Linked DNA regions of Callithrix jacchus. The protein of the gene in region 2 purifies or fractionates together with the protein of the main gene of each other region. This does not show direct contact. Links are inferred from orthologs where the notes say so. Each region holds a gene or a part of one and is shown on either strand. Other genes may lie near its edges.

Region 1 (7,795 bases), on a different chromosome or scaffold from region 2:
AAACAAAGCAGTGCTTTTAAAAAATCGCCCCAGAAAGAGTCCTAAGCATCCTGGAGACAAGGAAAAAAACCATTCCGTATTGTCTGTGACTAATGACTTTGGGCCCAAAAGCTGTATTCCCAGGAATGATTTACTAAGGGAGAGGAGTTACTGTTTACCTACGCAGGGTAGGAAAGGCACTTCCTGGAGAACAGAGTATGCTGTGAATCTACTCAAATGTTACAATTCTCCAATCTAATCATTCACCTTTTCAAACAAAGATGGGGATTAAGGTTGCTTAACGATCTTAAAAAACTTGCTCACGGCAGGGCACGGTGGCTCACACCTATAATCCCAGCACTTTGGGAGGGTGAGGCGGGCGGCTCATGAGATCAAGACCATCCTGGCTAGCACAGTGAAACCCGTCTCTACTAAAAATACAAAAAATGAGCCAGGCATGGTGGCACCTGCCTGTAATCCGAACTACTCAGGAGGCTAAGGCAGGAGAATCACTTGAACCCAGGAGGTGGAGGCTGAAGTGGGCCACGATCGTGCCACTGTACTCCAGCAGCGTGGAGACTGGCTCGGGAAAAAAGAAAAACACCTGCTCGTGATCACAAGTCCTCTACTTAAAATGACTGCAGTAATCAGGCCCGGAAAGCAAGCTGATGCAAGAAAAGCCCTCAGCCTTTTTTTTTTTTTGACTGAGTTTTTCTTGTCACCCAGGCTGGAGTACAACAGCACAGATTTCCGCTCACAGCGACCTCCGCCTCCTGGGTTCAGGCAATTCTCCAGCCTCAGCCTCCCGAGTAGCTGGGACTACAGGCACCCGCCACCACGCCCAGCTAATTTTTGTATTTTTAGTTCCGACAGGGTTTCACCATGTTGGCCAGGCTGGTCTGGAACTCCTGACCTCAGGTGACCCTCCCACCTTGGCCTCCCAAAGTGCTGTGATTACAGGTGTGAGCCACCACACCCAGTCGAAAAGCCCCCATCCCTAATCTCATTTCCCATCCCTCTCTTTATGTTCCTCCCCCTCCTCACTTACAACTTACATTGGTAACAAGACACGCAGGGAGTAAATCTTGCCTCCCTCCTAACAAGGCAGATGAGATTTTGAAAAGCCTAGACTATAAATATTTACATCACATTACAAAAAGGAAGCTGATAGGTCTGCCTCAGAGACAAAATACAATCCAACAACAGTTCTTAATCCATTTCTTATTCTTACTCTGTGGTTTAAGTCATCTGACATCCAGCTTCTCTAGGTGCCCCAAGCAGTTCTCTCTATAGTGACAGACTCCAGGGAATCCCTTAGATTCACTGCCCCTCTATGTCCCAGGGCAAATGCCCTAGCTGCACTCCTCAACACGGATTCACCGGCTGCAGCCAAGAGCCCCACGTGGAGTAAACGCAGGGCCAGTTCTCAAGGCCGTCCTCTGCCCTCATCTGGATGACAGTCTCAACTCTGGCTATGAAGGGAAAATCACCTGTGCTGTTTGTTCATTGTTCTCCAAAAGCCCAGCCGCAGCCCACTCTGAAAGCGACTATTTGGGATGCTAGGGTGGAATCCAGGCAAATACACTGAAAAAGCTCTTGGATAAATGTCAGAAGAGAGGGAGCCAGCATCCCCAGAAAAAAAAAAGCCTGAAGCAGGGAAGCTGTCAACCCCAGAGGGAACTAGCACTCCCAAGACCATATAAAGGGCTTCTTCCCCACGGGAAGTGGGCTCTAAGCAATTGCTGTTTTATGGACCAGGCTCCTTGGCTATTCCAGCACTTTGGGAAGCAGAGGATCATGAGGTCAGGACATCGAGACCATCCTGGCTAACATGGTGAATGAAATCCCATCTATACTAAACATACAAAAACTTAGCCAGGTGTGGTAGCACGCGCCTGTAATCCCAGCTACTTGGGAGGCTGAGGCAGGAGAATCACTTGAACCTGGGAGGCTGCAGTAAGCCAAGATCATGTCACTGCACTTCAGCCTGGGGGACAGAGTGAACACTCCATCTCAAAATTTAAAAAAAAGGAAACTGCTTTTATTTTTACCTTTAAAAGCTTCTCAGGTTAATGGGAAGAGGAACAAAAGAGACTTCCCTGGCAAAAGACTTCAAGCCTCATGTCAGCCTGGCAGGTAAATCAGGTCCCTGGCTTCTGACAGGGCTCAACCTTCCTCTTGCTAGGCTCTCCTCCAGGACCCTGGCTATCTAATCAGCCTCAGGCAATCTGGGCTCCAGGTATCCATCCCTCCAGTGCTTAATGCAGAGTCCTCGGCTTTTCCTTAATTATTGTTGCTGGCATTCTTCTTCACTCCACCTCTAGAACCTCACTGTGACCATCGTCTTGGATGAGAATCTAGACGTCTGCAACCCCTTCAGGTCTAAAACCGCACAATGCTACAATTCCCCTCCAAAGTAAGTACAAACATTTTTCTCCTCATACAGCTCTGCCCATGGTGAGTTGCCTCTGATAAGAGAACCATCTGCCGGTGCAGACACAGCAGTGGGTGAAGGGGTGAGGGCTTGGATCGTTAAACACAGCCGCTCCAGAGTAAATGGGCCAACGCTTTACTGAACCGATGCCCTCCTGAAGACAGTGCGTCCTTGAAGGAAGGAATGCCCCCACCCCCACAACCCTGGCGGCGTCACCACAGAATCCTACCGCTCCTGCATTTTAGCAGTGGCATGTCTACGGGAAAACGGCCGAGTTGAAGGCTGCAGTGAGCTCCAGTGATTGTGCCACTGCAATCCAGCCTGGGCGACAGAGTAAGGAATAAAAAGGACACATATGAGCATCCTGCTAGTCAGCAACTTTAGCTAGAATCATCAAGAGACAGAAGGGACAGAATCAGCCCATCTGCCGTTAACTCCTCAGGAAGAGCAGCTGACCCCAGAGGGTACAAGCAGAGAGTGTTTGCTGCTTCCATCTGTGGGTCTGGCTACAGGGCTCCCACACTTCCCTGTTCCGAGGTAAACAAGGGACAGAGAAATCAGACCAGACGGGGTGAGTGCTGCCTGAGCCACGGCTCCGCGCAGGATTTGAAGGCGGCTGGAGCCCGCGGGACCGGCCGACCCCGCCCACGCAGAGCCCACGGTGGCCCCATTCTGCCGCGCAGACACCCAGGACGGCCCAAGGAATTGCCAACCTGGGTTCCACCCCACGCGTTAAGTATCTTATTACAGAATAAACAAAACAGAAAAACAAAAACCTAACTCCAGCGCTGATCGTCTTGCACTGCCGATGACTCAGCAGCCTATTTAAGTTACGGACTGGAGAGGAACAAGCCCCTGCGGAGCCCCCTCCACCTCCCAGGGCCCGGATCCTAGCCGGTCAAAGAAACACACCGTGTCCTTGGTAACTCAGCTTCACAAACGGAAAATGGGTGATTTTACAGCAAAGGAAACATCTCTTGGATTTTACTTTATGACAAAAGACAGAAAAATACCCCTTAATCTATTTCAGAATAGTAATTATCCAATGTTTACGTTTCAAGAGGAAAAAATCCAAATTACAGGATTTTTAAAAATATGGTTCTAGGCCAGGCCGAGGCGGGAGGATCACTTGAACCCAGTTCAGACCAGCCTGGGCAACATAGTGAGATCTCATCTCTTAGGAAAAAAAAGGTGAAAAAAAATATGGTAGTGTTCAAACATACATAAATTATTCGATATATTATGGAAACTAAGTTCTGCCTAGTAAAATCTTGCTTTTGTAATAAAATTAGCAACTCACTAAACTTAATGTAAATACATGACTTTCAGAACTGTTCGTGAAAACTGAAAGTTCATTGGCAGAGGTTTCAGCAGTCCTTTCCCAAGCTTATTTACTTGCTAATTTTGCTTTGTAAACTCTGGCTTCAGAGAACACAAAGGTCAGCTGCCACCATCCCTCCCCCGAGGCCTGGGCCCTAGGGACCCTGGGAAGGCAGCTTCTGGACCCGCTTCCCTGAGCAAAGGCTCATCTGGGCTCTGCACGTGTATTTACCGGGTGGGGAGGGTCTCCATGCCACCTGGCTGTGCGTGGGGCAAGTCCTGAACCGCTGGTACTGCGAACCTAGCAAAGGGCGCACAGCAGGCCTCTACGCGGGCATTAAGCAGGCTGCAACGACTGGCTGCTCTAAAGGCGGCGTCCTTTTGTGATTTTTAACCCGTAGGTCATTTAAAGCTTTGTTTCGGAACGATCCTCTAGGAGAATCGGACCAAGTCCATTTAATGCCAGAATCTAACAACGCTGTCACCCCCACCCATTTAACTTCAGGAAATCCCAATAGTCACCACGGACTTCAACAGCAGCCACAAAACTAAAGCACTTACAAGCCACGCCTCGGTGTTTACTCATTAAAACCAATGCTAGGGCGGGCGTGGCGGTTCACGCCTGTAATCCTAGCGCTTTGGGAGGCCGAGGCGGGTGGACCACCAGGTCAGAAGATCGAGACCATCCCGACTAACACGGTGAAACCTCGTCTGCTAAACCCACCAAAAATTAGCCGGGCGAGGTGGTACGCGCCTGTGGCCCCAGATACTCGGGAGGCTGAGACAGGGGAGTCGCTTGAACCCGGGAGGCGAAGGCTGCAGTGAGCCGAGGTGGCGTCCCTGCGCTCCAGCCTGGGCCACAGAGCGACGCTCCGTCTCGAAGGCAAATAAATAAACAAAACCGATGCTGGTCTGAACTACAGACCGCGGAGGGCAGCGTGGACTTCAAGAGGCTGCCCGGGCCAACTGGGAGACGCAGAGCCACCTCCAGGTGGAATTCCAGCCATCGCGAGGCTGGAGAATTGGGGCTTCCCCGCGCGGTACGACCCGGGTCCAAGCCACCCCTCGCCCCAGCCAGGGGGCCGCGAACCCGGAGCAGCGCGCGGAATCCCCACGCCCCGGGCCCCGCACGCCCGCCGGAGGGGTGGGCACCGGAGAGCAGAGCGACACGGCCTCGGTCGGCCCGCGATGCCCCCCCCAGGCCTCCTCTCGGCCTCTGTCGGCGCGCCCCGGCCTACCCCCCAGCCTCCTCTCGGCGCCCCCTCGGCGTCCCCCCGGCCTCCCCGGCCTCACCCTGCAGGCTCTCCTCCTGCATCCCCGGCGCTCCGCTCTGCGACATGACGCCGGAGGGCGGCTGCGGCGATCAGAGTCCGCGCCGGGCTGCGGGCTGCGGGCTGCGGGCTGCGCGTAGACGGCGGACGGTGAGAAAGTGGGCACGGGGACGCCGCGGCCCAGCGCTCGGTGACTGAGCGGAGCCCCGCCGCCCGGCCAGAGGAACTCACCGGGTAGGGCGGGGCCGGGCGGATCTGCGGCCGCGACGCCCATTGGCCGCGGCGCGGGACCTGCGCGTGCGCAGGGGCGTGCGGTGCGTGCGGCACGTGTGGCGCGTGCGCGGGGCGGGTCCTGGGGCGGGCGAGGGGCGGGGACTGCGGTGCGCGGGTCGCAGGCGGAGAGAGGGGCGGGGCGAAGGATGCGCAGACGCGGGCGCGGGCGAGACCGCCTGAGGTGAGCCAGGCCGGGCGGAGCGTCCCGGGCCGCGTGACGAGTGGGCTGCGGGGTCGCCGACGCGGCAGGCGGTGGGCCGGGTTTTCTTTTAGAGGGGCGGTGGGACCGGCGGACGCGCTAGGCTCTACCTGTCACCCCGGCGCCGCCACGCTTCGGGGCGGGGAGGGTCTCTCCATCCTAGTGTGGGGAAACAGGTGCGGGGAGAGCGACGTCCCTGCGGGGGGCGTGAGGACGTGCGGGGAGAGCGGCGTCCGTGCGGGGGGCGTGAAGACGTGCGGGGAGAGCGGCGTCCGTGTGGGGGGGCGTGAGGACGTGCGGGGAGAGCGGCGTCCGTGCGGGGGGCGTGAGGACGTGCGGGGAGAGCGGCGTCCGTGTGGGGGGGCGTGAGGACGTGCGGGGAGAGCGGCGTCCGTGCGGGGGGCGTGAGGACGTGCGGGGAGAGCGACGTCCCTGCGCGGGGCGTGAGGACGTGCGGGGAGAGCGGCGTCCGTGCGGGGGGCGTGAGGACGTGCGGGGAGAGCGACGTCCCTGCGGGGGGCGTGAGGACGTGCGGGGAGAGCGGCGTCCGTGCGGGGGGCGTGAGGACGTGCGGGGAGAGCGACGTCCCTGCGGGGTCGTGAGGACGTGCGGGGAGAGCGGCGTCCGTGCGGGGGGCGTGAGGACGTGCGGAGAGAGCGACGTCCCTGCGGGGGGCGTGAGGACGTGCGGGGTGCGTGAGGACGTGCGGGGAGAGCGACGTCCCTGCGGGGGGCGTGAGGACGTGCGAGGGGCGTGAGGACGTGTAGGGAGAGCGGCGTCCGTGCGGGGAGAGCGACGTCCCTGCGGGGGGCGTGAGGACGTGTAGGGAGAGCGGCGTCCGTGCGGGGGGCGTGAGGACGTGTAGGGAGAGCGGCGTCCGTGCGGGGGGCGTGAGGACGTGTAGGGAGAGCGGCGTCCGTGCGGGGGGCGTGAGGACGTGCGGGGGTCGTGAGGACGCGCGGGGGTCGTGAGGACGCGGGGAGAGCGGCGTCCGTGCGGGGGGCGTGAGGACGTGCGGGGGCGTAGCTGCTGCGGTTCCTGGGCGGCCGGTGGGGCCGGTACGGTCGCTGCGAGTGGTGGGCCGGAGCCGAGGCCGCGCCCCCGGGTCTCTGCCCGCCCGGCCGGGGCGCCCCTGCTTGAACAGCGGGGCCGTTGTGTCTGGGGGCGTCCGCTCACAAGGAGCAGCGGAGGCTCAAGTGGGGCGGAAGATCCGCCCGAGGGAGACGCGGACCCCAGGGGCCCGGAGAGGCGCGCCGTCCGCCTCCGCGGCGAGGGGTTTCCGGGGGCGGGCGGGGCTCGGGGCGGGGTGGCGCCGGGCCGGGTGGGTACCGGGCTAGGGGAGCCGGCCTGGCGGCCTCGGGCCTGGAGGGAGGCGCGCGCTCTTCAGAGGAAAGGCTCGTTTCCCGCCCTTTTTCCCAAGAGTCTTTCTCCGTGGAAGCATTGACGACCCAGATCCAGGTGTCGCGTTGTGCCCCCGAAATACTCCTTCCCAGACAGCCGGGTCTGGCCACGCGGGGAAGGCGGAGGCCCCCGACAGCGAACGGGGACGCCAGGTGCTCAGAACCGGAACCGGGATCACCGCGCGGAGAAACCAGACCTCCGTCACTGCGTGGATTTCACCGCAGCTCTTGCTGTTGAATCGGCCCTAGTATTTGGAGTGCCATGATTTTGGTTTTCTCGAGCCCAGTGTGGGAAACAGGCCTTTCATCTCAGCACTTTGGGAGGCCGAGGCAGGAGGATCGCTTTGGCCCAGGAGTTGGAGACTAGTCTGGGCAGCATGGCGAGACCCCTTCACTACCCCCCAAAAAAAAAAAAAAGAAAAATCACGGCATCGTGGTACCTGCTGTGGGAGGATCACTTGAGCCCAGGAGGTGGAGGCTACAATGTGCCATGATCAGGCCACTGCACTCCAGCCTGAGCAACAGAGTGAGACCCTGTCTCAAAAAAAAAAGAAAAAGGAAAACAGCCAGAGATACACAGCATTAATATTTCCAATAGTAGAACTATAATGCTGGCCAGGCAGTGCCTCTTGCTTTAATTCCAGCATTTGGGGGAAGCCAAGGCAGTAGGATCACTTCAGCCTGAGAGTTCAAGACCAACCTGGCCGACACAGAAAGATTCCATCTTTATTAAAACAAAAATGTTACCAAGTGCCCACTTTGGGAGGCCGAGGCAGGCAGATCATGAGGTCAGGAGATCGAGACTATCCTGGCAAACATGTTGAAGCCCCATCTCTATTAAAAATATTTTAAAAATTAGCTGAGGATGGTGGTGGGTGCCTGTAATTTCAGCTACCCAGTAGGCTGAGGCACAAGAATC
Region 2 (7,178 bases):
GTGACAGCCTTTAATGTCTAATTGACCTCTTCTCTTTGTTTCACTTTCATTCACTTTCCATACTTGCCTCTGATGTGGTCCCTAATGGCAGCAAACAGCACTGCTCAGCATTTTGAACTTCTGTTCAGAGCTTCAGCACCTCAGTTTGGGCAGTTGTGTCATGGTAAGTATTTGAGAATTCTTTATACTACTCAATTACTTGTTCTCTTTTTCTTCCTGTGGGTGAAATTTATCCTGACTCACCCTACCCCACACACACCCACAGTTTTTCAGATGTATGGTTCTCTTCTTTGTCCCTTGCTTTCAAACATGTTTCTTAAATTGGAAAGTATGTCTTTGAAACACTGACATTATTTATCCAGGAGAGCAAGGGAAGAAGTATAGTGTGGTGGAATATAGCATAGTTCTGCCCCAAACCAGATGTTGTCTCCAACAAACTATTCACCTCTCTAGGTTTCTTCACAAACTAAGATGTCAGTCGTACCCAAATGCCAATAGTTTAGTAAGTTTTTCACTGACCTAATTTATCTTTTAAAGTCTGAGATAATGTTCTTGAAATTTTCATGATAATAGATAGATTTATTTAATACGTTTGTTTTTGTGTTTGTTTTACTGTCCTTACTGTCAAAATGGAAAGATTAGCACCCTTTGTTGGAACTCTTTGTGTGTGTGTGTGTGTGTGTGTGTGGAAATTTGACTGGTCTGTGAAATCTAAAAGCCTAGGGACTCTTGGACTAGATAAGCTTTAAAGTCCTTCCAGATTTGAAATACAATTTTATGTGCCCTTGAAAGAGCTCATGGGAAGAGTTAAATCTTTTAATCTAAACCACATAATTATATAGCTTTTAAATAATACCAAGATGTGAAGGACAATAGAAATATTGTGTGGAGAAGGTGTGCATGTGCATGTGTGTCTTTGCGTGCACACATACTGTAAGTGAATCTTCTGGTATTGGAAGAATTCATTCCTCCTCACTTCCTCCCCTAAACAATGTAGGTTTAGGAGATCCCCAGAGCATTCCAGTTTTGCCTTGCATTCACTTAGTAGGAAGACTTGAATAAGCAAAATTATTGCAAGTTTCTAGAAAAGTTCTGGTATGCTAGATTTAGAATCGATAGACAGGGCCCTGGACCTAAAATAAGTCCCATTTGAACATCTCTTAGAGCTCAGCGTGGCTTCAGGAATGTCCCAAGATTTGGCAGTATAGACTAAGTAGGCCTTTTATGATGACATGTTTATCTCCATGTCCCCATGGTCTTTGAAATCTTGTGGTTAAGTTTTATTAAACCCCAAGTATGGGATCAGGCCATCCCAGTCTCTAGAAACAGTCATGGGAGCCCACTAGATTTTCCTCACTTCCAGTCAAGTTCTTACCATAGTAAGCCATTTGATAGGCTTCTGTGGGTCTCTCTAGTGACTCTTCTAGATGGGGCCAGTGACATTTGATGGCAGTTTCTGTCACAATGCACTAGCCAGCTACTGTACTTGGATTTTCCTTATTGCTAGCCTGCCCTCTTTAGATTGGTAAGGACCCTATTTAACTTTGCTTAGATGTACCTTATTCTGCTTGTTATTTACCTCCCTTTAAACTGGAGCAACATTCCTTAGAAAATCAAGCCTCTGACCATAGACACTTTACTACTGGAATTATATATATGCTTACAGTTGGAATTATATTAAGTTAGCATTTTTCAGAGTTGACCCATGGAAAATTAGTCCTAGAGGATAATCAACTTTAAAGGCTGTGCATTTGGGGGTGGAGTGGAGATTTCTAGTGAAATTAGGAAGCCAAGTATGGTTGCCCACACCTATAGTTCCAAATACTCTGGAGGCTGATGTAGGAGGATTTCTTGTGCGCAGGAGTTCAAGGCTGCAGTGATACGGTTACACTGCTGCACTGCAGCCTGGTCTTAAAGAGTTTGACAATGGTGTGTTCTACAACAAAGAAACTGTTTACCTTTGCTAAAACCAGTGTGTTCCAACCTTACCTAACTACTGAACTCATTTTTCTATATTGTATTTTATTGTTGACTGTCAATATAATGGCAGTTTGTAGATTTGTGGTATTTATTAAGCAGTTGTTCACAGTATACATACATAGGTCACTGTGTTGACATTGCCATGGTGATTGTGATCTATCATATACCTTCGCTGAGTATTCTCCTCATGGCGTACTTTCTCTGTAGTGAGTTTAATGTAGGTAGTAAATTAGTTGTGCCACTTTTTTTCTGAAACTAAACTTTGTGCTACAAGTGCCAGTTAGATTTGCAGTGACAAGAACTTCTGAGGAGTAGTGTCTCACCTGTAATAAACTTGAATAGTCTAGTCAGTGCCATAAATATTCTTGTAGGACTCCTTAGAAATACTTATTTTTCCTCTTGATTGGGAAATAAACAAATTTTATCTATTTCTTTTTACTTTTGAAAATGGGCCAGGCGCAGTGGCTCATGTCTGTAATCACAGCACTTTGGGAGGCCTAGGTGGGCAGATCACGAGGTCAAGAGATCGAGACCATCCTGGCCAACATGGTGAAACCCTGTCTCTACTAAAAATACAAAAATTAGCTGGGCTTGGTGGCACATGCCTGTAATCCCAGATACTCAGGAGGCTGAGGCAGGAGAATTGCTTGAACCAGGGAGTTGGAGGTTGCAGTGAGCCGAGATTGTGCCACTGCACTCCTTCCTGGTGACAGAGCAAGATTCTATCTCAAAAAATAAAAATAAAAACAACTAAAAAAGTTTAAATTCCACTATTGTATAATACTGCTTGAAGTAATTTAAAATTGCCTAAATTAAAGAATCATAGGACCTAACTGGCATTTTCTTAAGTTTCCTACTAATTGTGCGATCCTGGTCAGGTCACTTAAATTCTTGCTGATAGTTCCTTTGTGACATTTGTCCTATTTTTAAAATTAGATCATGAATAAGAAAATAAATATGTCTAATCTTTTTGGGGAAAAGAGAGTCCTGTGTAATAACTAAAATTTAGAAGGGATTTTAGTTAATAAAGGAGAGATAGGTTACCTTTGTTCCAGTAAAAAGTATTAAGTTTCATTCTTACTTTCCCAGCCCTGAATTTGGCATGTTGAATAGTGCTCTGAAAATTTCACAGCAATGAAAAACTCTTGAAGGAATTTCTCATTGTATTCTGTGCTGGTAGAGAATTCGTCCAAATGCCACTGAGATTGCCCAGGCACCAGTTGAGCATAATCAGAATCATGGGTTTCAGAAAAATTTTTAATTGTTTCTTTCTAAATAAGATAATTGGTTGCCCTACTTATCAAACCCACAGTTTTGTGTTGTTCAGGTATACTCACTTAAGGAGATAGTTTTGTTCCCCCGAACCTGTTTCTGGTAGACTTCTGCATGATTCCATCATACATGCACTGACATCCAGAACCTTAGAAATCATTACCCCTATATCTAATCTGTCAGCCTTTGGTTCCAACTCAAAAATACAGCCCCAAATCTATCAGATTTCCCCAATTCCATCATTGCCACCTTAATCTAAGCCCCTGTCATCTCTCCTTTACACTGTTGCAGGCCTCTTCAATGAGCTGCCTCCTCTGTTCTTCCCCACCATAGGCCCATCCTCCAGACAGAAGCTTGGGGTAGTTTTGCTTTGGTTTTAATGTAAATAATAATATGTCACTCCTTTTTGGCTTCCTTAGTATTTGAAAGAAAAATCTAACTCCTTCCTGGCCTAAATGGCCTGGCCACTGTGTGACCCTACTCTCCATAGCCTGTTTCTTCCCTCACCACCCTTGCACCATATGGATCTCCTTTTTGTTTCTCGAATGCAACAAACTCATTCCTGGAGATTTCAGCAATTACCACCCCTTCTCTCAACTCCTGACACTCTGATCACTGTCACATCACTCTGTCTTATTATTTTCCCACCATATGTTGCTCTTTGAATTTATTTTCTTTACTTAATTAGTCTGTTTGTCTTTCCCAAAAATGTGGACAATGTCTGCTTCTTTCAGTTTGCTGCTGGTCCTAGCATATGGAATGGTGCATAAATATTTGCTGAAAATACAATTTAACAAAAGAACAAAAGGAGATAATCATTGTAATTGTTTACTATTTTGTTTCCTTTTGATTTCTTATGATGATTTTAATGTCTGATTTTAACAAAATCAAATGAACCTCTTAAAAGAACCTATTTAAAGAAACATTATTGAAGCATATAAAGCCCAAGAACTGAAATGTTTAATCCTTGATTAGTAGAGTCTTACCCTGGAATCATGAAGTAAGCACTGGATACCTCCAATAACTGACAGTTCATTAAAATATTGTAGTCTAAATTATTTTCATGTGGTATATGCACTCCCCCAATGCCTCATTTACCAAAACTACTAGTATCCTTATTAGTACTATCAGCATTTCCACATAGTGTTTTAGAGCCTACCAGATGCCACATCAGGGAGATCTTATATACCTGCCAAAGTATATTAGCCATGTATAAAATGGAAGAAAGTAAGTCCTGTCACGAGTAGCAGCAGCAAGATTGAAATGGTGGGCATAAAAGAATAACACATCATCCTTTAATTTTTCATGAGAGACTGAAAATGTCAAACTGCTTTGGGATTTAATTCATTAACATCTTCTGTCTGGAGTTCTCTTAAACAGATTTTTAAATAAATGATTATTCTTGGCTGTTTTATGAAACAGTGGTAGATCTGTGAGATGAGTGGGCAGATCTGTATTAACAAAGATGTGTATTTGTTGACATGGAAGCAAAATGATAGGAGATAATTAAGAATCTGACTTATTCTAAATAGTTTGCATGTCTGAGCATAACACGTGTTGGAATTGTTTGATTTCCAGATTGAAGACTATGATGTGATAGCTAGCATGATAGGAGCCAAGTGTAAAAAACTCCGGACCCTGGATCTATGGAGATGTAAGAATATTACTGAGAATGGAATAGCAGAACTGGCTTCTGGGTGTCCACTTCTGGAGGAACTTGACCTCGGCTGGTGCCCAACTCTGCAGAGCAGCACTGGGTGCTTCACCAGACTGGCACGCCAGCTCCCAAACTTGCAAAAACTCTTTCTTACAGCTAACAGATCTGTGTGTGACACAGACATTGAAGAATTGGCATGTAATTGTACCAGGTTACAGCAGCTGGACATATTAGGTAAGGATACAATATATAAATTTGTTTTAAATGCCTATTTCCTTGACATAAAAGCTGGTCTCAGACTTCTTGTAAGGAGAAAGAAAATTTTTGGATACAATAAAAATTTTGTCCTGATAAGACTGCTTGGTTTGATAGAAAATGCAAGATAGATCTGTTAATATAGGGAATAATTATACATGTACTTTAATAAAATGGGACAATAACAGAATTTTATAGTTGAACCTATCAAAAACTCTAAATAATCATTAATTCTTGATCTAGTTGGAAGAGTGAAAATTTACATGAACTGTGCTTTCTATTTTTATTAAGGAGACAAAAGAAATACATTTGATAATGAATGCTAGCTAGTTTTTTTTAAAGTTTCTTCATTATTGATTAAGAAATATCATGATATCTTTATCCCTGATAATTCTAGCATTTAAGAATAGTTCTACCCCAGGCAGATCTATTTAAAATCTTTTCCAACTCTGGTATTTCTTATATCCTTACTGCCTTCATCAGAAAGTAACCCTATGTAATTTTGTTACTTCTTACTTTTAGCCAGGGGTGCTAGCAGTGTCACAGTAGTTATTGTCCACACAATTGGTACTTTGTGAACTCACATCGCACTTGCACATTTTACATCAAATGCATGGTGAAAATCATTTTGAACTGGGGTGACAGAAATAGGAAAGTCTGGAGGAGCTGATTTGAAGGGGTAGGAGGTAGGAATGAAGATAGTGGGTGGGATATTGGCAAGATTCAGGTCCTAGATGCTAAATTGTCTGGGAAAATTCAGTTTTTACTTTTTTAACAGAATGATTTCAATATGAAGTCTTGTTTGAAAAACAAATGATTTTAATTTGTAAAGGATTATTTATTTTAAGTTCATTGCAAATAATAAATCATGAATGGATTCATTGTTAGCACATTATATAAATGTTATACTTAATTTTTTTTTTCTCTTTCCTTAAATAGGAACAAGAATGGTAAGTCCGGCATCCTTAAGAAAACTCCTGGAATCTTGTAAAGATCTTTCCTTACTTGATGTGTCCTTCTGTTCACAAATTGATAACAGAGCTGTGCTAGAACTGAATGCAAGTTTTCCAAAAGTGTTCATAAAAAAGAGCTTTACTCAGTGACTTAATATACGTTCTGTAATAAATTTAATGTGCTTCGGTGGGGTTTTATTTTGGGATTGGTTTTGGGTTTTGTTTTTAGTTGTTTTAATGGTAAGAAATAAGACATTTGTAGGTTTTAAAGAAAATTATGAAATTGTTCATTAAATCAAGTAAAAATGTGCACAAATATTTCCATATAATATTGTAAGCACTTTTCTTCAAGAATATGTGAGTGGATGATATTATTTTTACCTTATGTTAATCAGTGATATTATGCTTTAGTAATTAATGTGATTGATAAAAGAATAACATGGAGACATGCTAACTTATTTTTGAAGGAACACTGAGCAATAAAGTATCATGGTATTTATGCAAAAAAAAGTTAATTTTTTACTTTGGGAGGCCGAGGTGGGTGGATCACAAGGTCAAGAGATCGAGACCATCCTGGTCAAAGTGGTGAAACCCCGTCTCTACTAAAAATACAAAAAATTAGCTGGGCATGGTGGCGCGTGCCTGTAATCCCAGCTATTCAGGAGGCTGAGGCAGGAGAATTGCCTGAACCCAGGAGGTGGAGGTTGCAGTGAGCCGAGATCGCGCCATTGCACTCCAGCCTGGGTAACAAGAGCGAAACTCCATCTCGGAAAAAAAAAAAAAAGTTAATTTTTTACACCTCCATGTAAAGATCTTATTCAGCCTGTGACCTGGCAAGTGTTTTATTTGGTATGTACAAAATGGTCAGAGCTAGTTGGAGAAAGAGACATGCTTTTCCAGCTATTTGGTTATTTCTCTAGATTAACTGTTCAACTGGAAAATTTGTAGGTTTTCTAGCCAGGTGTGGTGGTGTGTAGTCCTAGCTGCACAGGAGGCGGAGGCAGGAGGATTACTTGAGATGGGATTTTGAGATGCTAGTGTATTTATGATTGCACCTGTGA
Region 3 (7,784 bases), on a different chromosome or scaffold from region 2:
AGTTCTGCATAATGAATTCTGCCATAATGATCAGATATCAGTCTTTAAAGCTTTTCATTTTAGTCTCTTCTAGTCTTCTTCCACCTTTTATAAACCAGTCAAACCCTCAGGGAACATTTGGTTAAAAGCTTGAGCTCTGGAGTTAGCCAGGCTTAACCACCTTCCTAGCCCTGACCTTCACCGCTCAAAGTCTCAGCTCCTTCACCTGTATTCTGTAAAGTGGGTTAAACCATAGTGACTACACTTCAGTGGGCACTGTAAGGATTTCCAGTGGAAGGCTGTACGTGAATGTTGACGCATGCAGTACGCTAGTCACTGGGGACAGATGCTATCACAGCCTCCCTGTCCCAAAGGAGGGCAGTTTGGTGGGAGAAACCACCAAGTACAATCAAAAGGTTAAATATTGTGATAGTGACACAGGCAGGACACCACGGGAACCCAGGGAAGGCTCCCTGAGCCGTCAGTGAAAGAAAAGGCAAAGAGTCACATCTTGAATGGAACTGCAACAGCACTGAAGCGTGCAGGGAACACTAGGAAGGGCAGAACAGTGCTTACTTGGTCCATGTTTCCCAAGGGAAAAAATATACATCAAACTTAGGCTTCACAACCCTGCTTTTCAAACATGAATACAATACTTGATGTTCTTTGAGACCGTTTTTCCCAAAATGCTGTTAATGTTCAAAGCTGTGGCATTCCCATGGAATCCACATACTTTGAGGGCCTAAGGAAATCAACAATGTCAATTAAAAAACCATCTCATTTCACAAATGAGCAAATACTGGCCCTGCAAAGGTAAGCTTTAACTAGACTCAAGTCCTCTCTCCCAAATCAAGACGCTCTATACCTAAGCAAAAATAAATGACTACATCTCTCCATCACAGAATTTTTAGAAGTGAAATACCTCCATGCATGAATAAAAAACTTAAGTCATTAAATGTTATCATCCTGTTTATAGTGTGCTTACTCAATGTTCATTTTATAAACAAGAAACTTCTATAAAGAGGAAATTATGTCCTCGGCAAACACAAGACTTTTACCCAAATTGGATCTACTTCCCATTTAATGTTCATTTCTTCATTTGCAAAGCAAACACACGGATAAACTCCCAGATATTTTTAAAAAGCAAGACAAACTTAGAATTGGCCCTTCAAATGGTTAACTCTTTTCTCCAGACATACCTAAAACAAGTTCAAAATGAACCTGACAGTCCCCCAAAGACACTTTATTCCAGAGTGACTCAAGGTCATGGCTTTGGGACCTACAAAGGGCTGAAACAGCAAAACAAAACAAACCAAAACACCTTCATAAGTTCTTATGGTCCTAATGTTTTTAATTTGAAGAATGGCAAGTAACAACTCCTCAATTTAAAGTACATTCATTTTAATTTTCCATGCTGAAAGACAGACACAATGCCTCTGGGTATACTAGGAATGATATTCTGATGAAAGGGCCTCAGTGACCCAGGGATGGTTCCTCCCACAGCAACTTCCTATCCCACTTCAGCAGAACCAAGGGGCTGGCCTCACCTTTCCAACAAGGAGACGCCTCAACTACCAAACTGCTTCATTTCAAAGGCAAAGCTGGATACTCAACCGGGGGTGGGAGGACCTGATCCTGATCGCGTTTGATTGTGTTTCCAAAAAAAGTAAAAAAAAATTCCGCATCTTAAAACTAGTTTTAATGGGAAAGAAAGCTAAAGTTTCACAACTTGTTCTCTCTTGGCACTTTCCTGGACTTCACAGGTATAGAAAACCTGGGCATTTTTCTGTTGGGGCCCTGTACTAGATACTGGGGGGCTGTGGGGAGGTGCGAAGTGGAGAAATGGGAAGGGAGAGTGGCAAAGGAGAGATGAGAGAATCGATTTTACTTAAGTGTATAATAAAGCTTGCATTCTTAACCGGCTTAAGTGCAACGACTGTGTTTTCTGCAGCCAACAATCAGGGCATGTTTTCAAACACTAAGTTAGAATTATTCCAGAAAACTCACTCATTCAAAAATAAGCAATTGAGGCACCACCATAACCAAGTTGTTACTCTGGAGACGCAAAAATAAACAGGGAATATCCCCTGCGCTGAAGGAATTCAGAATCGGAAATGTATGGGAAATAAGGCTGTATTGTAGTTAATTACAGCTAGAAGATAACATTCAGTAAGTGGCAAGAGTCTAATGAACTATAATATCTAAGGAAACCATGCAGAATCAGCTCAGGCATGCGTGTCTGTCTTCTGATGTGGTACACACATTGGGAGTGGGGGGTGGGGAAGGACCTGAGCATGTGGCTCTCAAGGAAGGAAGCTTTTACAAATTGGTGAAAAACCCTAGCATATTTAAAGTTGGTTTGTTGTCTGACAAAACAGTTTTTAAAAGATGAAGCCAATGAGGAAAGAAGTTTAACATATTTAGAAAGCAATTCAGCCATCCCTCTCAAGCTTAAGGAACACTCTCCTGAAACCTCCAAAAATGGGCATAATAGAGTTAAAGCGAGCCAGTCTTGTGTTTGCATGCTTTGGAATTTGAAATGCAATGCAACTATTTCGACTCACCATGGAAAACAACAAATAGAACCTCGAAGTAAAACATTTTCCAATATCCAAAAACCTCCTTTAAACAAAGAAAAATCTCATCGCCAAATATTGTTTTCAAACAAAATGACTGGTTTTACATTTTAAATGTCATTACATATTTTACTACATAATCCACTCTCCAGGATTTCAAAAAACTGGGTACATTTTCGGGTGCACCATGAAATGAAGTGTTAAACTTAAAACTGCACACACTTCCGCGAGGCGTTAGGTCCTAGAAGCTCCTGGCTTGAAGTAAAAAAGGAATCTAGTTTCTCTTCTGCCGCTTCGTTAAGATTATTCCAAAAAGTGTGATCGTTTACTCCACTCAGAACTTTTGACGATTTTAATGCTACTACAGGAAAGAGCAATTACACTGAGCAAATAAATATTTAAGAAGACTGCAATTCAGCATTTGTGCACTTACCACGAACGCCTACTACGAACCAGAAGCAACCGAGAGTGACCCAGTCGGAAAAGAGAATCCTCTTTTTGGCAAAGCCAGCCAGGCAGAAAACCTTAACTTTGGGGATTCATTTCAAGCAGTGTCTACAAGCATTCCTCTCTTTCTTAATTATCTTACGTCTGCGCTACACAATATTGCACCGGTGGCAGAAACAGGGGTCTTTCAGATCTTGGGGCAAAAATCGCACGAACCCCGAGCCTGGGGACCCCAAGTCCCCGCAGCTTGCGCTCGCCCGGTTACCTCCAGGGTCATGGCGCGCGCTCCCGTTGGGGCCGGGGGCGCGCCGAGGCCGCGGCGCAGGGCCCGGCCAGACTCGCGAGCGCTAGGCGGGCGCCGTGGGGCTCCGTTCGGTTTTGCCGCCGGGCTCCCATCTCTGAGCGCCAGCCCAGCCCGCTCCCCGAGGACAACTGGGCAAAAGGACGGCTGTTAGCCAATAATAGCGTCCTGCACGGTCGCAATAATGCAGGCGCGGAACCCGAGAGCCGCGGGCAGGGAACCGGAAAGCGAGAGAGCCCGGCTTGGCGGCTGGTTGCGCGCGCGAGCCCGGGGCTCACAGGAGGGCACGCGTCGGCCGGAAAGCGGCGCCGAGGAGAAGCGTGGTCGTGAGGGCGAGAAGGGGCAAGGGCATGGGGTCCCGGTGTCCCGCGGAGATCGCCTCACGAGGCGAGGCGCGAACGCCCAAGTCGCCCGGGGCCATACGCCGGCCCAGCCTCCGCGGACCCAGCCCGGTCCCGACGGGGAAAGGGGCCGGCGCCACCAGGCCGCCGCCTCTGGGCGCGATGAATCGGGCTTTTTCCCAGTGCGTAGTCCGGGCCTGGCCGCCCCGGCCCGTCCGGGGTGACTCAGGGCCCAGCCCCGCTCGCTCCCCTGCCGCCCCCGGCGTCCTCCGCCCACGAGCCCCCGGGCCCGGCCGCCATTCTGCCCGGCCGCGTTTCGGCGGCTCAGGCCTCGCCCGGCGCCTGGGCTCGGCAACCGCGGCCCGAGTCACTGCGACACCGCGGCTCGGGGCCGGGCCTGCGCCGCCGCCACCACCTCCTTTCGGCCCTGCGGCGGCCGACACTCACCCGCATCTCCGTAGTGCCCAAAAGGCTCCCGCGACGCCTCCGCCTGGTCGCTGGGCCTGGGCCCCGGCGAAAGCCCCGTCCCGCCAAGGTCTGGCTGCGTCCCTCAGCCACCCGGGCTGCCCCGCCTGGAGCTGCGTGCGACACGGAGCCCGCCTCCTCCTCCTCCCCTGCCCGCCCGGCCCTCCTCCTCCCGCCGCCGCCGCCGCCGCCTGCACCACGCAACCTCCGCCCTCTCGCCTTCTCTCCACGGCTCCCCGCCCTCCCGGCCTCACCGGCTCCGGCGACCGCGGGGGAGAAGCTGTTGGGGGAGGGCCGGAACGCACCGCCATCGGCGTCCGGGGCGGGGGAGCCGGGAAACCGTCGTCGCCATCGCCCCGCCAGCCCGAGACGCGGGAGGGGCCCGGAAAGCTCCCGCCCGCCCGCCGCCCCGGGGGCGCCCCTTCTGTGGCCGTGGCCCCCGCTCACGTGGGGCTCTTTACCTGCGAGCCCACGGCCCCTGCCCCCTGACACCCGAGCCATCCCCGACCCGGCGCGCTGGATCCTCCGCCAGGTTTTACAGCCTCCCTCGCCTTGGGGCCGCCGCGGAGGACCCGTTCCCGCCACTTCGGACCTCGCCAGCGAGAATGAGCTGCTTGGGTCGGGGACACCACCAGCCTCTGAAGAAAGGGCCCGAAGCACCCCAAAGGAGAGGGGCTCGCAGTCCTCCTGCCCCTCCCCTGTGCGCACAACCCCCGTCCCCCGCTGGCCTGGAACTCGACTCCCCACTTTTGTCGACCGGGACTGGGGGATGCACCACAGATCAGAAAGTCAGAGGTGGCCAGGTGCCTCCCAGAATCGGCGCGGACTTCCAAGGAACGTGCAGCTGATTCTCGACCCCCCCCTTAACACCTGCAGGCCTTAGGATTTGGCTCCAGACACATTTTATCTATGTGTCTCTTTTTAAAAATCACTTCTAAGGTCAAACCTAACTAGGCTTTCCCTCTTCAGACTCTTTCACTAACTGCTGTTTGGCAGATTTTGACATTTACTCTACCCTTGGTCTTTGGAAGGACAAATCAAAACTAGAAGGCTTTGATTACATATAGGGATGGCATGAGGCATGATGTAAAATAGTATTTTCACGTGTAGTTCGAAGTCATCTCATTTGAAATTAACTGTCATAATTGGCTATTTGGAATATTCACACTAAATACTAATTTTGGCAGCACAAATAGCCACCTGCTGCTATGGTGACGGGCTGGAGGAAGCGTGGTGGCCCCCCCGCACCTAGTGAGGGATGGCTGATTAATAGCACGGCTCACAACGTCACCGAGCGGCTCATTCCACGAACAACCCCCGGGGGATTTCGAATTCTGTCATCTGGGCAAAAGATGTGATGAGTGTAATTTTGTTTCCTCCAAACTAAAATGCTACACAGATTCCAGTACCACTCGGGACAGAAGGCCTCAGTCAGAGCAGAGGGCTGTCCCCAGAGTCCACAGTTTACTGCATAACATGGGTTTGTCTCAGAAGAAACATCCCACTGGTCTATGTGATCCCCTCTATCGAAATGTCTTGGCCGGGCGCGGTGGCTCATGCCTGTAATCCCGGCACTTTGGGAGGCCAAGGTGGGCGAATCACGTAGGTCAGGAGTTCGAGACCAGCCTGGCCAACATGGTGACCCCCCCCCCCAGTTTCTACTAAAGATAAAAAAAATTAGCCAGGTGTGGTGGCAGACACCTGTAGTCCCAGCTATTTGGGAGGCTGAGGCAGGAGAATTGCTTAAACCTGGGAGGCAGAGGTTGCAGTGAGCCGAGATCATGCCATTGCACTCCAGCCTGGGCAACAGGGCAAGACTGTCTCAAAAAAAAAAATGTATTTTGTCTACATCTAAGTATCTGTAATAGTAATGCATTTGTCACTTAGGTATGTCATAATCCTTTCATTTGTGCAGGGTGTTGGGGTGGGAAATATTCTTGGCCTCCTATTCTGTGACTTCCTCCAGCTAATAGAAAGGCTGAGTGGGTCAGCCTTCCCTTTATTGTATGTTTCCTTTGCCCTCTGTTTTTTCTTAATAGGAGTATTTGGTTCACCTACACCACCCTCCCTCTTCTCACTGCCTCCGAGATTCCTGGTTCTTAACTCCTTTCTATTCTTTACCCTCACCTGCCTACACGATCATTCTTAGCAGCAAATTTATTCCATTGACTTTTATGTCCACTTAACAACCAGATTTGCATTTACTTTGGGCAGATAACCTTGCCTCCTGCCTAACAGGTCAAGGCCACCTGCTGCTCCCTTTCTACTTTAAAACCTCCTTCCTCCATCTTTCTCCCCCAGCTCAGCAAAATCGATGTCCCTCTCAGATGACCCAAAGTTTGGAGGGATAATTAATTTGATGGATGTCAGAATCAAAATTCAAAATAGTCTGAACAGACTAGAACATTAGGCCAAAAGCAGTGACATAAAATACAACTTTCAACTCGACAATATGATGTACTAGTTGGAAAAGCCCAAGTTTTAGATTTTAGTGGGCTTTGGTTTATATTCAGTTACTCAAATTTGAGTCATATCCAGTAACTCAAATTACTAATTTTTGCTCTAGTTAAGTCAACTGTTAATTTGGGATAAAAATACCTACATCATAAGAGTGTAAAGAGTAATTTCTTCATAATTCGTGGAACATTCACCAGCCATTAGTCCCCCCTCATCTTCCACAAAGTGAATGTGCCTGTTGCCATTCATAGCACATTCTTTAATTCATGCAGACCTGGAAACAAACTCAAAATCCTGGCCCATTCACCTTGTATCCCAGAGCTGTCACCATCCTAGAGAAATCCTTTGCCTGTTTTGAGTCAGTCATTATCATCATACCCATTTTTCATTTAAAAAAAACTTAAGGCTCAGAGATGTTAGGCAATTTGCGTGAAATCGCTCAGCCTGATCAGTGCATAATGTGACCCGGTGACTCACTTCTGTATATATCCACTCCTTTACTAAGATATTCTCCCACACTTTTGTTGGTTCTTTAACCTTCTAAATGCTCTTCCTGGTTCTTACCTCTTCTTTATCCTTCCGCTTGTGTCATGACTGATGGCAGATTATTCCTTGTAAATTGATACCTTCATCATTATAATTTTGTCCTTCCAAACTTCAGTAGTTCCATATTGTGTGTAGGGTTCAATCCAAATTTGGACCTGGCACTTAAGGTTTACCATATCTTGTCCTAACTTGCTTTTCCAAATTTATTTCCTGCTACTTCCCAAAAGGAACTCTCAATGCCATTCAGTTGTTCCTCTAACAGGTACTGTTCCCCCTTCTCTCCTCCAACTCCAAATCATGCTCACTTTTCTTTTTTTTTTTTTTTCATGCTCACTTTTCAAGATCCAGCTCACACCCCCCTCCCAGGAAGCCCGCCACCTTACACCTTCTACTCAAGCTTTGTGACCTCTCCCTGATTGCCTTCTCACATGTGCCTTTAAACTAGGTGGTCTGTGCTGTGGGGTCAGAGACAATTTCGTAATGTTCATCTGCCCCCTCAGCACTGTGCCTGAAGAACGCTGAAGCGGATTCCGAGCAAATTTGCTTACTACTGAAATGAAAGGGTATGGTGTTACTTGACTAACTATATGAACGATTATTTCTAAGACACAGGTAAGTAACTAGCCATCCAGTGCAAAGTGAATTAACAGGATGGTTCTCAAACCTGGTTTT
Region 4 (7,616 bases), on a different chromosome or scaffold from region 2:
TGAGTCAGGAGTTCAAGACCACCCTGGCCAACATGGTGAGACCCCCCCCCCCATCTTTATTACTAAAAATACAGAAAAGCTGGGCGTGGTAGTACACACCTGTAATCCCAGCTACTCAAGAGGCTGAGGCATGAGAATCGCTTGAACCCGGAGGCGGAGGTTGCAGTGAAATGGGATCCTGCCACTGCACTCCAGCGTGGGTGACAGAGTGAGGGGGAAAAAAAGATCAACTAAAAAATGGGTAGCAGAGGTAAAGGTGGACGTTCCTTGCTGGGCATTAAAAGAAACTTGACTAAGGAAAAGGATTGGGAGGATTATATAAATATATATAAAGGTTAACTGAACAAAAATTAAAATCTCAGGTGAACACAACTAAGCAACAATAATAGTAAAAACCCAAACAATTATCTTAATACTGAGTTTGAACTGAGGACAAAATTATGACCATGTTACAGTGATAAACAGGGATAGTTATGAACATCTGCATCAACTATAAGGAATGAAGATACAAGAAGAAAGAAACATACTAGGAGTAGGAGATGCAAATTCACCTCTTGAAATCCATGACATATAAAGGGGTGAAAATAATCAGCTGTATGAAAACTTAAATGACATTAGGTGTTCCAACAGATATATCAAATCTGATTTTGTGAACACAAAGTATACGTTCTTTTCAAATACAGAATAATCCCCAAAAGGGATCGCAAGTTAGGCCCCAAAGGTCACCAAAAAAAAAATACTCCCAAACTGAAAATAGTACAAAAACCCAATCTGACCAGGGAAAAACTCTTAAATACCCACATTAATAAAGAATGAAATAAACACCAGATCTAAGAAGTTAGGAAAGGTTGACGGTGACTGCCAATGAGTACAGCCTTTCATGGCGGGGGAGGGGGGGTGGCAAAAGTGTTCCCAAGTTAGACTATGATGGTTACACAACTCTGTGAATATGTAAAAAACATTGAATTGTGAATTTTAAGCGGATGAATTGTATAGTATGTGGAATATATTCCAATGGAGCTGTTAAAAAATTAGAATTAGGGAAAATACAATTAGGAAACAGGAATTTAAGACTCAATAAAATAGATAAACGATTAGGTAATATATTCAAGAAACAAATAGAGGACAAACAACATAAAATAAGAAATAAAGGTAACATCCTATAGAAACAGCTTTCCTAAAAGCACCAGGCCCCAGTCCTTCTGTACAGAATTACAATATTTCCTTAAAGAAAGTAATTTCAGTGTCAAGGAAACTTTCTAATTATTTTCAATAAAATGAATATAGTAACTTGGGTGAGTTGACTCATGCCTGTAATCCCAGCACTTTCGGAAGCTGAAGCAGGGGGATCCATAAGCCCAGGAGTTTGGGACTTGCCTGAGCAACACAAGGAGACTACATCTCTACAAAAAATACAAAAAATAGCTGGACATGATGGCAGGCACCTGTAGTTGCACCTACTGGGGAAGCTGAGGTGGGATGATCACTTGAGCCTGGAAGGCTGAAGCTGCAGTGAGCCATGATTGCACCACTGCACTCCAGCCTGGGTGACAGAGTGAGACCTTGTCTCAATAAAATAAAATAGCATATGATTAATAAAAACTTTTTTGAATGTTTAAAACCTTTTAAAAGGAGTTCCTAAAAGGAAAATAGAACAAAGTGGGATCTCGTAGTACTGACTGGGAAAACAATTCTATAAATATGTCAATAATCCCTCAATTAATCTATTAATCGAGTTCATTTCTGACCAAAATCTTAAGAGTTTGCAAAGGGATTTGATAAATCAATCCTTTTTAAAAAACCTTTTAGCGTGGAATTTTTCAAATATATTTAAAAAACTAGAGGAATACTTTAATGTACTACCTAGCTTCAATAATTACCAACATATGGTCAATCTTGGACAAGTCCACTTTTAAGTTTATCTGCAGCATAGTCATTAACATCTGAAAAAGGCAAATGCAGACAAAGTTTGTTAGCTAACAGAGGTATTGTAGGTAGCCCTGAAACAGTCACATTTTTGTGAGCATTCGGAGAGTGACAAAGGTGCAATTTCAAATCAGGGTAGACAGGATGGCTTAAAATTAGTATTATTGGATCAATGGGCTACAAAACTGGGAATAATTGAAGTTAAACAATTTACAGCATATGGAGAATAAATTTCAGATGGATTAGAGCTCTAAATGTAAATTTAAGCCTCTAAGAGAATTAGAAAAAGTTATAGGGGAATTGTAGATTAATAATCTTGGTGTTAAAGTCTCCTCAAGCCGTGTAAGAATGACAAATCTGATTACATGAAAACCTTAAGCTTCTACAGAGTGAAAAAAAATATTAAAAGACAAGTTACAGACTGAGAGAAACATATCACTCATAAACCAGGCCAAGGAGACTGGACAAACACGAAATGTATATCGCTCATAAATCAGGCCAAGGAGACCGGAGATGTGAAGCAGGAGGTATGTTTTGGAAAACATTTAATGTTACCCACGTACAGGATAAACGGCTTCCCACGTCATGTCCCAGAAATCGATTAGGGCATGGGATTTGGGTGATTACTTTCTCCTCTGTTTTCCTGATTGTTTTCTCTTTTTTCTTTCTCTCTTCTGTTTTCCTGAATTTTTCTTTTTTCTTCCTTTTCTTTCACTCTCTCTCTTTTTTACAATGATGCTGTGTTTGTAATTGACGTTTTTTAAAGTCTGTAGCAATTAAATTTGGGGGCGGCCTTCCCTTGTTTCCTGAATGGAGCGTTGATGTTTCAGCGGCTTTATCTTGAGTTTACTCGTGGAGGCACCTAGGTTTGGGGCTTCCTTTGTGTCCCCAAGACATCTATTGCAGAAGTGAGTCCTAAGAGGTAGAAAACAGAAGCATGCGCAGAGCTGGGTGAAGCAGTGTGGAGCTCGCGTGAGAGGAGGCTCGGGCGCTAACACATAAGCGCACTTCCTCATTCCGCTTCTCCTCATCTTCTCTCCCAGTGCCACCCGCATCACTCATCCCATCCGGTCATTCCAAGTCACACGCAAGAGTTCGTTCCTGGTGCGCGCGTCAGCCTAAGTCTCGCGTCTCCACTTCCGGGGCCCGCAGGTACACGCCCTTGCCCCGCCCGGTCGCCTGTTGTGTTGTCATCACGTGGCCTGGGCGGGCCCTGACGTCAAGGGGAGGGGAGGGACGGCGCAAGCGCAGAAAAGGGGGCGGGGGACTCGGCTTGTTGTGTTGCTGCCTGAGAGCCGGAGACAGTCCTGCAGCTGCCGCAGCCCTGCCACCCGCCTGACAATGTCCCACCTAGTCGAGCCGCCGCCACCCCTGCACAATAACAACAACAACTGCGAGGAAAGTGACCAGTCTCTGCCCCCGCCGGCCGGCCTCAACAGTGAGTGTGGGGCCGAGGGCTCGGTGAAGGGGATGGGGGAGGAGGAGCCGCCCCAGCCGCCGCCACCGGCGCGGCGCGGGAGGCGGGAGGAGAAGGCAGCCCATTGGCCCAGGCCGAGGATGTCCGGGTGACTGACAGCTCCCGTCACCTGTCAGGAGGAGGGGCGTCTGCCTTCCTCCGGGCCTCTCCGGTGCCCTCTGGGATCTTGGGGCCCCGGGCCTTTTGGGTTCGCGGTCCGGGATCGGCGGAGGTCGCGCGGATCTCCCTGGTGTGGGGGGTCCCCAGCAGCGAAGCCGGGTGGGGCGGGACGGGGGCGGGCCTGGGGGGCGGGGAGGCCGGGTGGGAGGAGCGGGCCGCGGAGGGGACGTGGGCCGGGATGGGACGTGCGGATGGGACGCCGGGGGATGGACGCGCAGGAGCGGGGTGGGGCGGGCGGCGGCCGTGGGACGTGTCAAGGATCAGGTGTGCGGGGCCCGCAAGCGGGCAGCGTCTGGCGGGCGCGGGAGCCCCCAGCGAGCATTCCTTTGTTGCCACATGGTCGTCAGGAAAATTCATTTACTGGTCTAGGGGTGGCTTGTCACGTGTGGGGTGAGAGGCTGTGCCTTGCTTTTCCTTTTTCCTTTTTTTGATTTCTCGAAGTTGCCCAAGTAATTTTTTTTTTTTTTTTAAGCGATGGGGTTGTGTGCCCAGTAAACCTGAGAGCAGCCTCCTGAAACACCCAGGACTGCACACATCAGGGAGTCTGGGGTCATGCATTTAAAGAAACGGAATTAGAAACGCAGTCGGGCAGTTGAAAGTCAACAGGCAGAGCTGATGGACTACCCAGGCCAGGGGCTTTTCTTAACATTCCGCTGCTCAGACGTGTGGTCCTCACATTTTTGTCAGGCGTTGTGAGAGCCAGGAGCCTTCTTGGAAGGATTCTTGCCTAACCTTTGTAATTCATCTCTGGGGAAAGAGGTAGTGGGGGCAGTGAGCATGTGGCCAGACTATGTCTTTTCAAAACCACTTGGTTGATTAAAGGTCGTGCAGTGTCTTTCGTAACAGGGAGGTTCTTCCAATGTGGCCTGAAGATTATTATTCCAGGGAAGGCAGTTGCAGCCCTCACCAGGTAGGGATGGAATCTGGATGTTTTAAGATGGATGCTGCTGCTTCAGGTTTTGATGGGTTAGCTCCCAAGACCTTCAAGTGTCATATATTACAGAATGTAAGATGTTTATATTATTTCCCGCAGCAAATTAGGATGAATGTATGTGTCTTTAAACGTTATTTGTATCACATATTCCTATGCAATTTTAAGTTATTTGCCCGTGTTTAGCGTACTCGCTTGGATTTTAGAATGGGAAGAAACTTCAGAGCTAGCTAGCTGCCTTCTGTTGTTTACCAGTAGAGAAACAGGTCTTGATTAAGGGGCCTTGTGTCCAAGTTCACAGCCAGCTGGGAGCAAAGCTGAGGTTCTGACATTCAGCCTGTCAGGTGCCTTTTTTTTTTTTTTTTTTTTTGAGTTGGAGTCTGGCTCTGTCACCTAAGGTGGAGTGTAGCTGCGTTTTCTCAGCTCACTGCAACCTCCGCTTCCTGGTTGGGATTCTCCTGCCTCAGCCTCGTGAGTAGCTGGCACTACAGGTGCCCGCCACCCACCTGGCAAATTTTTGTATTTTTAGTAGAGACGAAATTTCGCCATTTTGGCCAGGCTGGTCTCAAACCCCTGACCTCACGTCATCCGCCCGCCTGGGCTTCCTGAAGTTCTGGGATTACAGGCGTGAGCCAACGCGCAGCCTCTTTTCGGGACTTCTTTTCAGCGGTCCAGAACCAGGCTTCTTTTTAGTGGTCCTGCTGGTGTATATGTGTCTTATTTTGTCTGTGTTATTCTACCTGATGCACAAAGGTGACCCACCTTTCTGTCTCTTGGTAGTATTCTGTTTAATTGTGCAGTTTTCTTACAAGTGAAGATACTTGGTAGGTGTACATAATTTCACTGAACGCAAAGGGATTTTCATCTTCCTTTGACCCCTTTAACAACAACACAAAGGGCTAAGCCACGCAGGGCGTGGTGGCTCACGCCTGTTATCCCAGCACTTTGGTAGGCCGAGTTGGATGGTTCACTTGAGGTCAGGAGTTCGAGACCAGCCTGCCAACAAGGTGAAAAACCAACCCCCTCTCTACTGAAAATACAAAAATTAGCCTGGCATAGTGGCGGGCGCCTGTAATCCCAGCTACTCGGAGGCTGAGGCAGGAGAATTATTTGAACCCGGGAGACAGAGGTTCCAGTGACCTGAGATTGTGCCACTGCACTCCAGCCCTGGTAGCAGAGCAAGACTCTGTCTCAATGAAAAAAGAAAAAAAAAAGGGGGTTGAGCCATATGTCATTGTTTGTCTTGGTGTCTTACAGACCTATGACGAGTTTGATGTCTTTGGCCAATTTGTTCCTACCTGGTTGACTCTGGCTCTTACAGAGGTGGAATTACACTCAGGCTGCATGGGATATCAAAATATTGCTTTGGGAAATCTGCTAGGTAGTATTTTATGTGAGATAGGGTGAGCTTCCTGAAAAGCTTTTAGATAATGCCGTATTTAATTACTCCCTTCCTGCCTCTTACTCTGTTCGTTTTTTTAGCTCATTACACAATACTGGACTGAAGAAAACAAGAGGCCTCATTGATTCCTTGAAGTGATTTTTGGGTACTGGGCAAAACAACTTGGGCATCTAGTACTGTCCAAATTGCTGATAAGTCGAAGTATTTTGTTGGGTAAAGTTGCACAACTGAAAACAGGAGATGAAATGTACAGATTATCTTGGGTTTGGGATTGTATCTTTGGTTCAGGGGTCAAAGCAGAGTTTCAATAGCAAATTATTGAAATATTTGAATAGTGAAGTATTTCTGTGATTTTTTTTTTATAAGTTTACCGTTATGAAGAGACTGTTCACTTTCATTACAAATTACAGGGCAGATACCCAAACTCTTGCCAAGTCAAAAGGTTGTTGTCCAGTTTGTTTTATTAAGAATTCTTAACTGTTTAAAAAAAAAAAAAGAATTATTAACTGTTAACTTCCTTAAGAGTATTTGAATAAGATTCAGTGAGTAAGGAAAATCAAAGCAGTAGTATAATTCTTGTTGAGACATATAGCCTTTTTTTCTTTCCTTGTTTTTATTTTTATTTTTGAGATAGAGTCTTGCTCTGTCACCCAGGCTGGAATGCAGTGATGCAGTCATAGCTGATTGCAGCTTCTACTACCTGGGCTCAAGTGAGCAGGTAGCGAGGAGTATAGGTGCACGCCCCCACACCCAGCTAATTATTTTATTTCTTGTAGAGATGGAGTTTCACTTTGTTGGCCAGGTTGGTCACTGGCTAACTTATTTTTTGTAGAGATTGAGTTTTGCTTTGTTGCCCAGGCTGGTCACAAACTCTTTTTTTCTTTTTTTAAATAAATCTTCAACCATCATGTGCCTGCTTTCCTGTTATCAAGAGTACTCTTAAGGCCTTCATGAAGTGTCCCTGCCTCGTAACAATGTTTTGAATACCTATGTAACTTGTGTGTAAATACTTCTACAAAAAGACCAACATTTTTTTTTTTTTTAGAAGAATGTCAGTGACTCTTGTTGGCCTGGTCTGGATTCCTTTCAATAATGAATGAAAGGCTTTGAGGAAAGAATGTAAATATAATGAAATATGAAAAGAGTTCTATGTGGGCCTTGAAAAGTTAGGGGGGAAATTGAGGAGAAAAACTCTTCATTTTCTCCTCCTCGTGTCCCAAAGCTCCTCTCCTCCCCTTATTGCAAGAGGACTGAACTAGTGATTATAAAACTGTAAAGATGATGCAACATACATTAATGAATGTAATCACAATTACTAAACCACCCTTCACAATCTGTTACGTTAGAGAATGGAGAAGCATTCTCTTAGTCATTCCCTAAAACCCAAACCAGAAAATATCTCATGCCACTGCATATTTTGTGCAAATTAGCATAAGGAACGGCTCTTACTTCGTTTGTAAAGTCTAAATCATAGAGAAGCTTCCAGCTTTTAGTCTTCAAGCTTGATTGTTAGGAAGGGAATTCACTCTGTGGTTTTCTACTTTGTATCGCTTGGACAGCACAAACCTCTTATCTAGCATTGCTTCCTTTCCAAGTAAAACTGGACTTTGTGAGGGTTGGTAGAGTTAGAACACTAAGAAGTTCTGAGTTTGTAAATCAGGAACGAATCAGGTGATGAGACAAAGACATGTTGTTCATCTGTTTTGCTCTTCTGTGTATTA

What was found.
Region 1: the proteins of FBXL4 (region 2) and BNIP3 purify together in Homo sapiens (affinity purification with western blotting; 4 studies listed by BioGRID, with this or other methods). This does not show direct contact. The link is inferred for Callithrix jacchus from reciprocal best matches to the Homo sapiens genes FBXL4 and BNIP3.
Region 3: the proteins of FBXL4 (region 2) and CUL1 purify together in Homo sapiens (affinity purification with western blotting; 4 studies listed by BioGRID, with this or other methods). This does not show direct contact. The link is inferred for Callithrix jacchus from reciprocal best matches to the Homo sapiens genes FBXL4 and CUL1.
Region 4: the proteins of FBXL4 (region 2) and BNIP3L purify together in Homo sapiens (affinity purification with western blotting; 4 studies listed by BioGRID, with this or other methods). This does not show direct contact. The link is inferred for Callithrix jacchus from reciprocal best matches to the Homo sapiens genes FBXL4 and BNIP3L.

What each region holds. Positions count from the first base shown.
Region 1 is NC_133513.1:125,281,404-125,289,198, forward strand, and holds the start of BNIP3 (BCL2/adenovirus E1B 19 kDa protein-interacting protein 3), read right to left. Parts: upstream 5,201-7,795; 5' UTR 5,073-5,200; coding exon 5,027-5,072; intron 1-5,026. UniProt on the Homo sapiens protein: Apoptosis-inducing protein that can overcome BCL2 suppression. May play a role in repartitioning calcium between the two major intracellular calcium stores in association with BCL2.
Region 2 is NC_133505.1:104,905,443-104,912,620, reverse strand, and holds part of FBXL4 (F-box/LRR-repeat protein 4), read left to right. Parts: intron 1-91; coding exon 92-163; intron 164-4,830; coding exon 4,831-5,143; intron 5,144-6,103; coding exon 6,104-6,267; 3' UTR 6,268-7,178. UniProt on the Homo sapiens protein: Substrate-recognition component of the mitochondria-localized SCF-FBXL4 ubiquitin E3 ligase complex that plays a role in the restriction of mitophagy by controlling the degradation of BNIP3 and NIX mitophagy receptors.
Region 3 is NC_133512.1:99,020,556-99,028,339, forward strand, and holds the start of CUL1 (cullin-1), read right to left. Parts: upstream 4,750-7,784; 5' UTR 4,571-4,749; intron 4,483-4,570; exon of another isoform or gene 4,364-4,482; intron 4,219-4,363; exon of another isoform or gene 4,092-4,218; intron 3,437-4,091; exon of another isoform or gene 2,989-3,436; intron 1-2,988. UniProt on the Homo sapiens protein: Core component of multiple cullin-RING-based SCF (SKP1-CUL1-F-box protein) E3 ubiquitin-protein ligase complexes, which mediate the ubiquitination of proteins involved in cell cycle progression, signal transduction and transcription.
Region 4 is NC_133514.1:15,174,605-15,182,220, reverse strand, and holds the start of BNIP3L (BCL2/adenovirus E1B 19 kDa protein-interacting protein 3-like), read left to right. Parts: upstream 1-3,201; 5' UTR 3,202-3,267; coding exon 3,268-3,364; intron 3,365-3,588; exon of another isoform or gene 3,589-3,661; intron 3,662-3,742; exon of another isoform or gene 3,743-3,952; intron 3,953-4,384; exon of another isoform or gene 4,385-4,472; intron 4,473-7,616.